2 linked regions of the Ovis aries genome follow. The protein of the gene in region 2 binds, or shares a complex with, the protein of the main gene of each other region. Links are inferred from orthologs where the notes say so. Each region holds a gene or a part of one and is shown on either strand. Other genes may lie near its edges. The genes, in order: PRDX1 and SIRT5.

Region 1 (4,361 bases), on a different chromosome or scaffold from region 2:
TTCTGATTACCAACTGAAGTAGATCTTCAACCTGTCAAGCAGTCTCTCACCAACAATTCCAAATATTCACATTTCCAGATACCAGCAATGTTTCAAAATCAAAATATGCTGGTCCTTCTGACACACTTCAACCTTCCCCCAGGGTTTTGCTAACAAGCTTCAGCAGGTCAAGCCCAGGAGGGCACAGAGCAACTCTTCCTAAACCTCATGCCTTTACCCTTAGGCCAGGGTCACCTCCCTATGGTACTACTTACTTTGTTTGCCAGGAGGAGCTTTCCTCCACAGGGCCCCACTTATCTGCTCTCATTCCAACCAGTATGTGGAATTTGTTAAGAAATCTAGTCATAGGTTTTACCCAAAAGCTAACTCTATGAACTGCTGTATCACCAAGAAAGGTATACTTGACGCCTGAGTCCTTAAGTTTAAATTCTAGGAAATCCGTATTTTGAACTGTCCCAGAATACCTTGCTATTCTAGGACAGTAAAGTAAAAAGATCCTCATTAGTATTTGCCTGGTTTCTACATGAAACTACTTAACAGAAAGGAGAGTTGTTCCAATTGTGACATCAATTTTTCTCTGGGGGTAAAATGTCAAGGGAACATGCCTAAACCCTCAATCGTGACACACATTTTGTAAACTGAACAGTTTCACAGCTCCAAAGACTTGAGCTCTGAGACTTTAAATTGTCCAAGGCTTTAAACTGTAACAAGATAATGAGTGTATCTCCAGTTAAATAACTGAGGAGCAATATTGGGAAGATAATTGAGATATTATGTCCAGATATAATGAAGTAGGCACATGCCTTCTCCAGAAGTAGTTTGGACTTGGAGATCTACCCTATGTTCACTGATGATAATCACCACTTCAATAGGAAGGCAACAGCCTCTTATCCTAAAGACAAATGAGATGTAAAAATCATTTTACACTCAAACATGACAAGAGATAGAGTGAACAAGCCCTCCCTAGACTGTACTATAATTTCATATTAATGAACTTAATTACTCTTACCTTTGTAGTCAGCTAGGCTGATATCCTTGAACTGACCATCTGGCATAACAGCTGTTGCTTTGAACTGGGGGGCACGGTGCCCAATTTTGGCATTTCCTGAAGACATATTGCTATCAGCTGGAAAAGATGAGAAAGTGAATTAGAAACAAGTCTTACTTTTCTAGATAACAACCTTCATCTATTTAAGAGACTAAGCTGTAGAAATTGTCCACTGGTCTTGAATATACACATAAACTTTTATAACAGTGAGAAGCATGAACTGAGCTTTCCAACTTTTCAAACAAAAATATTACACATCTCTGAATCTCACCTCTGTTTTCATTTTTGAGGGGAGGGACTGTTCATTTAAGATCTTTAAATTTTTATTGGAATATAGTTGATTTACAATGTTGTTTTCATTTTAAAATGGGAATTTCTTTATAAACTGAACTCTTCCTGTTCCTGAACCATCATCAGTACAACTGCATTTTCCTGTGTACGTTTATTATACAGGTGTACAAAGAGAAGAGGGTGGAAACTCTCAAACCTGGGCCCAAAGGTGCAATGCCATAAACACTAAGCACCCAAGCCTCAGAAGCTGCCATGATGCCCTTTCCCTGGACTGCACCTCCATCTGCCTTCAGAACGTGGGAAGCACACGTTCTTTCTCTGGGTAGATTTCCCAAGACACACACCCTAAAGCCAATCCAATTTTTTAAGAGGCCAAGTCCAAGATTATGGCATCTCTCAATTTCAAAATTCTAAGTGTTGTGTTTAAAGCCCAGAAGTCCTTTCAAAAGTGAGTTTACCGAGGGACCAAGATCCTGGAAAAATGGTTAGAACAAGAGTCAATTTATTGCCAAAAAGCAACGTAACACTGGATTCACCCTGGTCAAGAACATGGTAAGATTTAACCCAGTAAGTCATCAGTTTGATAATCCCAAGAAGCTAACTTTTCAAGTCCCAAAATTCTTGGTTCATAATACTACAGCCAAAAGAAAGACTGAACATCGACTGTGACAATTTTTTTTTAACCGCTTAACACCTATAACAGCAAACCAAAAAACCCAACCAAACACAGGAGGTGACCCTAATATACATGTCCTCCTTATTCAAACCTTTTCCAAGGGATCCCTACGTCCACTAAAGCACGACCAAGAGCGGGAGGCGGGGAAGCTGGAGTTCCACCGGGTGTGTCCCCTTCAGGAAATCGCCCCTTGAAGGTCCCTGGTGAAAGCCACTCCGCCAAAACCCACTTCTTGTACCCTCCCTGCCACTCCCATCATCACCCCCACCCTAGCGTCTCAGAAAGCTCCAGAAGAGTGCTCAGTCTTCACCGAGGACATTTAGAATCACTACAAACCCCATTCTGCAGGTGGAAAAATAAAGACGGAGAACGGAATCTTAGTAACTTTCCACACCTGAAGACCGGGAACAACCTCTCCTTCTACTACACGATCGACTGATAGCTCTCAGTTCCTGATCAGTTTGCAGATTCACTCGAGAAGTTTCCCTTACCCGCGCGTCAGGAGACTCCATCACCACCAACCCGCCCAGACGCCACGCCAAGCCAATCAGCGCTTTCTGCTTGTATTGCTGGGGGTAGGGGAGACTCAAGCTGCCGTTAGCCTCGGGTTTCAACCTCGTCCCCGCACCCAAAGGAGCCCCACACGAGGGTCGCTTCGCCTGGCCGCCTTCTTTGTCCGAGGAGCCCAGCTGAGTTCAGCGGGCCCCGAGGAGAAGACGGGAAAGGTGACGGGCGGGGCGGGGGCGCGGCCCTCATACTCACCAGTTCCAGAGAAAGAGGACCGATACCAGCGAGGAAGAAGACGCGCGAGGCGTGCGCGGGGCGCTGCCTTTATAGCCTGTAAGGCTCTCGCGAGAGTCAGGGCGGGCCGGGGGTGCAGGCGGGGGGAATGGGGAGGGGGATATGGCCAGCACACCGCCGGGACCCGACGTGCCCTGCCAGGATGACTCAGCGCTTTCCCTTGCTGGGGGCGGGCTCCCGCCCTTAGAGTACCAATCCCCCTCTCGCCGCCGACGGTTGAGGCCTGAGTTTGAGGCGCTCTTTCAGTCCTTTCAGAACACGAACGCCTCCTCCTTGTTCGTAAGGCCCAAACCAGGGTACGGGCACTCGCTGCTGCTCACGGAAGACTACGTCTAACCAAACCCTGAGGAGAACGATCTCTTCAAGTATTTCTGAAATATTCCGCCCCTGTTTCCGCAGCCTCTGCTCTAGTACTGATCCTCCGTGTGTGTGTGTGTGTTAGTCGCTCAGTCGTGCCCGACTCTTTGCGACCCCATGGACTGCAATCCACCAGGTTCCTCTGTCCATGAGATTTTCCAGCAAGGATACTGGAGTGGGTTGCCATTTCCTTCTCCAAGGACTGATCCTCCGTAACCCTCATTATTTAGACAGCCTCTCTTATTGTTCTTCCTTATAACAGGGTTGTTGCATTCCAGCTCCCCTGCATGAGTTCCTTTCCCATTCACTCCACTGCGGCTGCAGGAAATCTTTCTGAAATTTGATCTCATTCATTCACCGCTCTGATTTGTGGTTTATAGAAACTGGGGCTCTGTCTTCCTGGGTTAAAACTCTTGTTATTTTATGTGTGGCCTTAAGGCAAGAGTCTTAATCAATCAGCCTTAACTTTTCTCGCCTGTAGAATGGGAATACTATGAATTCTTTGTTGAGATCATCTCTAGCTTATTTAGCAATTCTCACACATGAAAGTGTTAGCTGTTGTTTTTAGTGTAACTCATCTTGCTCCTCTGTCGTAACTCCCAGGACAGAGAGTAACTGTTTGAAACCTCAGGCTTTTGTTCGAACGTGCAGAACCTGTTCTCTCCTATTTGGCCTGCAGAAAATGTGTCAGCTGAGGCATTACCTTCTGGTGAAACTCTTCTGACTTTCACTGATCCTCAGAATTCATTCCATCCTTTCTGCTCAAACAGTAGCCTGCTTGGTCACAACCATCTCTGCGCCCTCAAGTCACAACATAGCATCGGCTATAAAATAAAGAGTATTGAATACATATGTTAGGTAGTTAGAATAGGAAACAGGAGTCCAGAATGGCTGTGGCTAAAAGGCAAGGAAGGGAAAAGCCCGCGAAAATAGAACAAAGGAAGGTTGAGGACTGGAATGAGGACCTCAGGTGGAACAAACAGCACTCCAGGCTAGCCAAGTTTACATAGGGCAGGCCCAGGGGGAGGAAAAAACATAACACATAGTACTGTGTTCCCCTTTCTGCCCATAGCCCCCACTACCTTATCTCCTTTGGAGCTTATAGCAGAATAAAAAGTAGGGAAGTGCTGTGTCATTCTGATTGAGCATCTCAAAAATTTTTTCGCATTTATCATCCTACCGCACAAC
Region 2 (4,581 bases):
TCATCTTTATGGGGTCTGGATGCCAGGTATTTTTATGGATCACAGATGAGGGGAGATGAATGAACAAAGTAAAAAGGCCATTAATCTAGCAAATATCTCCTAGAATGGCAAACCTCAGGCAGGGAATGTGTTAATTTCTTCCATCCTGCAGTCTACAGGTGGACAGGGTTCTGAACAAAGGCACTTTAGTTTACAGTCAGATAGAGGGGCAGGATTCCCTGAGGCAGGCCATTATGTATAATTACAATTACAAAAGCAACGAAAAGCAAATCAAAGAAACAGTCTCAGCATGGAGTAAGAAGTAACTTTTCCCTGCAACATTACTACTGAGGGAATGAAAAACGAATATTCCAGAAAGAGGGACCAGCCTTTGGTTTGGAAGGACAAGACCATCAAGAAATGAAGCTCGAGTTGCTCTAAGGATGGAAAGGATAGCGGTTGATGTTTCAAAAAGACAAAGTAGCCTGATATCGGCAGAAGAGTCAGCTTTTCTAAGCCTGGAAGAAGGTATGTGGTTAAGGGATATATAGCGGGTAGCTGTGGGTTGTGACTCCTGGGCCTTGATAGAATGTGATGTCCCAGAAGGGATCCAACCTGTGGCTGGTGCCATGGAAGTTTGCAGTGACCGGCACAGGGCCTCCCCCACAGTGTGCCCTCCCTCCCCCCAGTGTCTGAATGAAGACAAGGATTGACACCTGATGACTAACATCAAAACCACAAAAAGCAGCTCAACATGTTAACGAGAGGCAGTACAGGCAGTGGCGCAGACCCCTGTGGCTGGAGCCAAAGCATTTAGGCTCAAACCCCAGCTCTGCTATTCAACAGCCTATCTTGAGTAGTTACTTGACCGCCTTGTGCCTCAGTTTCCCTATCTGTAAAGTGGGAATAACTGTATATCTTTTATCGGATGGGGAAGATTTTAACTGGTTAAGACACGTGAAGTTCTTAGCGGTGTCTGGTACAAAGTGCCATATATATGTTACAGAAAAAGTAGCAGTCAGACATAAGACCCTTCTCCAATTTTCTCGGACCCCGTAGGGCCCCCGGAGACTGATATAACCTGCGGGAGCAAGAGGGGTTCCAAAGCGGGCGGGACTTCCAGCCAAACTGAGGGGGGCGGTTGAGGTCAGAGTTGGAAAAACAAATGCTAATATCACATTACTGGCCAGTCTAGAAACAATTCTATTCTCGGAAAATTAGTTCTGGCTGTGAGACTGAATCAAAGACAAAGAAAGATGACTGCTTTTAAGGGCGATCAGACGAGGGGAGTCACGGAGATCACAGAGTACTCGAGACCTGGAAACTGGTCCCTTCCGAGGCAGGGTAAGGATCTCAGCACCAGCGCTCGTCATTGGTAGGCAGGCCTGGGAACCCCTCTAACCTTCATTGGAAATAGCGTTTCGGGGAAAGCCACCCCAATATTTCACATGCTCTGTGGCTAAGTAGTGCGGTCCAGCTAGCTGCAGGCTCAAAGAAAAAAGCAGTTCATCCGTCTTTCACGACACGTCTAGGAAGCTCACAAAGACGAGGCAACAGACCGTCCCTTCCCCCGCCGGGACCTCCTCCCCCCGCCCCTCCCCAAGAAAGAAATGCAAAGAAACAATCTTGTGCGACGAGCAGGCCCAGGGACGGGCCTCCAGGGCTCGGGAGCCGGATCAGCTGTGGGCCTCCGGCAGGGGCCGCTGCAGCCCCGGGCAGGTGGCTCGAGCCGCTCCGCCCCCAGGCTCGTTGTCCAGCCCCCGCGCCCGGGATCCGCCGCGGTCCCCGCCTCCTACAGGTGCGTGGGCGCCGGGGCCGGGCCGTGATCTCCGCCGCCTCCCTGGACTCCGAGGGTCGTGATCGAGCACAGGGGGCCGGGTGGGCGCCGTGGAGGGGGGCTCCCGGGGAGGGCGCGGGGTTGTGAGGGGAGGCCCACCGGGGCGCGCATGCGCGGATCAATTGCCTCGGCCGGTTCCGGGGTCCGCGAGGGTGGGTGGGAGGCGAAGGGGCACAGGGGAAGTGGGGTAGGGGAGAGAGTGGAGGTGGGGTGGGGAACGGGGAGGGCGAGGGGGGGAGGGGAGGGCGAGGGGGGGAGGGGAGGGCGAGGGGGGAGGGGAGGGTGAGGAAGGGAAGGGGGCGCGGACCCCGTTTCTTCGGGTGGATCCAGCTGGCAGTCCCCCACACCGCCGGCAGACACGCGTGCGGAGGCCGAAGATCGGGGGTCTTCCCGGCACGGCGCGGGGTGCTAGCTGCGGCCGGAGAGGCGAGGGAGGGGACCAGAAACGAGGTTGGAAAGTCAGGTGCCCGGGGCGGGTGGGCCTGGTAGGTCGCCGTGAAGGACGGGTGGCCCGGGGGACTCGGGGCAGGGTGTCCCCGTTGAGTAGAGGCCCTCCGGGCCCTGCTGCAGGCCGAGTGGCACTTGGGGCGGCCTGGACCGGGTGGTGGGCGTGGGAGGCGCGGCCGGGTTGGGACACAGTTGTAAAGCTGCAGTTGCTGGGGGTATATCAGGTTGTGTGAGTGTGAGACGTGAGCCAAAGGGAGAAGTGAGCCAAAGGGGGCCAAGGAGGATGGCTACCTAAGGCTTTTGGGGGAACGTTCAAGAGTTGAGGCTTGACTGTGAGCTGGGAGCCTTGTGTTGGACATCCGAGGCGGGGTGCACTGGTGAAGCCCGGGGAGGGTGAGCGATCCAGCCAGGTAGGAGGAAAACCAGGAGCAGCAAGAGGTTCCCCAAGAGGTGATCAAAGGGGTCAGAGGCTGGACCTGATCCAGGTGGACCGCTGGGTTTAGCAAGGTGGAGCGGGCTGGTGACTAGATAAGAGCCAGCGGTGAACTGGGGAGAGGAAGTGAGTCTCCCAGTGTTGATAGCTGGGGCCTGGTACTTCACATTTGTTTGACTCATAGGTGTTCAAAAAGTATTTATTGAACACCCTTGGGAGTTTTTGTAGTTCCCTCTCGATGTACTTTAATGTTTTGTAAATGCTTTTTCTCTCGAATTCCTCATATAACCTTACATTTGTTGTATTATTGTATTTTTAAGAATTGGGGTGCCCCCTTTCTCAACAGGGAACATAGAGACATTTTTCTGATTTTCTAACTGGGTAGGTGAGTTCCAGGTTTCCCAAAAAAGCCTGGTTAAGTGCGGATTGCCATTCACCGAGACTAATGTCAGTGTTTGAGAACCTATCCTGCACTCAGAAAGCTCCCAATGACTGGGATGAATGAGTTTATTTTCTTCCCTGAGGCCTTGCCACCTGAAAGTCAAATCAGGGCCAGATAATTGGAGGCTTTACCCAGGGCAGTTTTCACCCTGAGGGCTTTTGGACCAGACAAACTGATGTCTTCCTCCTCTGACTCAGCACAGTGGGGGCCTTCTTACCCTCCCGATATTTGCTTTGGCGTTTGAATTGGGTTGAGTTTGTGGCAGCTAGAACTACTGTCCATTCTGATCCCCCAGAAAAGCACATAAATATTGACACAGAGGATTCTTCTGATGAATACTTTGCAGTAGCATCTTGAAAATGTTTCTCAGGTGGCACAGTGGTAAAGAATCCGCCTGCCAATGCGGGAGACGCTGGCTGTATCCCTGGGTTGGGAAGATCGCCTGGAGAAGGAAATGGCAGCCTCTTGCAGTACTCTTGGCTGGAGAATTCCATGGACAGAGGAGCCCGGCTGGCTATAGTCCACGGGGTTGCAACTGAGCGACTAAACAGCAACAACAAAGCATATTGAAAATAGACTTCTGTTCTGAGTATTTACAAATCGTGGAGATAAATTTCAGGTGGCACTGTTCTAAAACAGTGTTTATTTAAAAAAATTTTTTTAAAGTTTTTTTTTTTTAAACCTTTACTTTGTTTTCACATTTATTGAGAGACTTGGAGAATATCTTGTAAATTAATGGAAAATTTAGCAAAACAGTTCCCACATTCATTAAAAAAAACTCATGTTTTTTTTGTCTTGTAAATGTTTTTTATTTAACATTACAGTTTCGACTTTTATCTAATTTCCAGTTGACGATCAGCAGCAGTCTGAAATACTCCAGCTTTTTAGTACCTTTTTAAGTTTTAACTATGAAACTAAAACTTACTGTTTTAGTTAAACTAAACTTGTAGTTTTTAACTACAAGGCTGAATAGTATTTCCCTGGATGAAATACATCCAGTGATGAACTATATCTGTTAATGGATGAACCACAGTTTTTATTTATCCATTCATAAGTTGATAGGCCTTTGACCTGCTATTATCTGATAGGCCTGTTGAACGTAACTAATTTCACAGGACACCAACATCAAACAAGGCTACACTGTAATCATGATGAATCAGGACAAAATAAGACTTCATAATTAGGTCTGACGTGAAGTTGCTCAGTCGTGTCCAACTCTTTGTGACCCCATGGACACCAGGCTCCTCCGTCCATGGGATTTTCTAGGCAAGAGTACTGGAGTGGGTTGCCATTTCCTTCTCCAGGGAACTTCCTGACCCAGGGATTGAACCCAGGTCTCCCACATTGTAGACAGACGCTTTCCGTCTAAATAAGAACTTTCTCTAAACCACGAAAATGATAAGACACCCTCCTATCCTGGCTAATAGGAGGGCCTGTTGCCTC

The links.
Region 1: the proteins of SIRT5 (region 2) and PRDX1 are in contact, whole or in part, in a crystal structure (PDB 8Z54), measured with the Homo sapiens proteins. The link is inferred for Ovis aries from reciprocal best matches to the Homo sapiens genes SIRT5 and PRDX1. Residues at the interface, in NP_001363727.1 of Homo sapiens: Ala86, Tyr102, Arg105, Gln140, Ile142, His158, Val220, Val221, Trp222, Phe223, Gly224, Glu225, Asn226, Leu227, Leu232, Val253, Val254, Tyr255, Pro256; in NP_001189360.1 of Homo sapiens: Phe195, Ser196, Lys197, Gln198.

What each region holds. Positions count from the first base shown.
Region 1 is NC_056054.1:20,143,118-20,147,478, forward strand, and holds the start of PRDX1 (peroxiredoxin-1), read right to left. Parts: upstream 2,822-4,361; 5' UTR 2,528-2,821; coding exon 2,410-2,527; intron 1,127-2,409; coding exon 1,010-1,126; intron 1-1,009. UniProt on the Homo sapiens protein: Thiol-specific peroxidase that catalyzes the reduction of hydrogen peroxide and organic hydroperoxides to water and alcohols, respectively.
Region 2 is NC_056073.1:42,250,042-42,254,622, reverse strand, and holds the start of SIRT5 (NAD-dependent protein deacylase sirtuin-5, mitochondrial), read left to right. Parts: upstream 1-1,727; 5' UTR 1,728-1,777; exon of another isoform or gene 1,778-1,857; intron 1,858-1,936; exon of another isoform or gene 1,937-1,968; intron 1,969-2,083; exon of another isoform or gene 2,084-2,301; intron 2,302-2,324; exon of another isoform or gene 2,325-2,822; intron 2,823-4,581. UniProt on the Homo sapiens protein: NAD-dependent lysine demalonylase, desuccinylase and deglutarylase that specifically removes malonyl, succinyl and glutaryl groups on target proteins.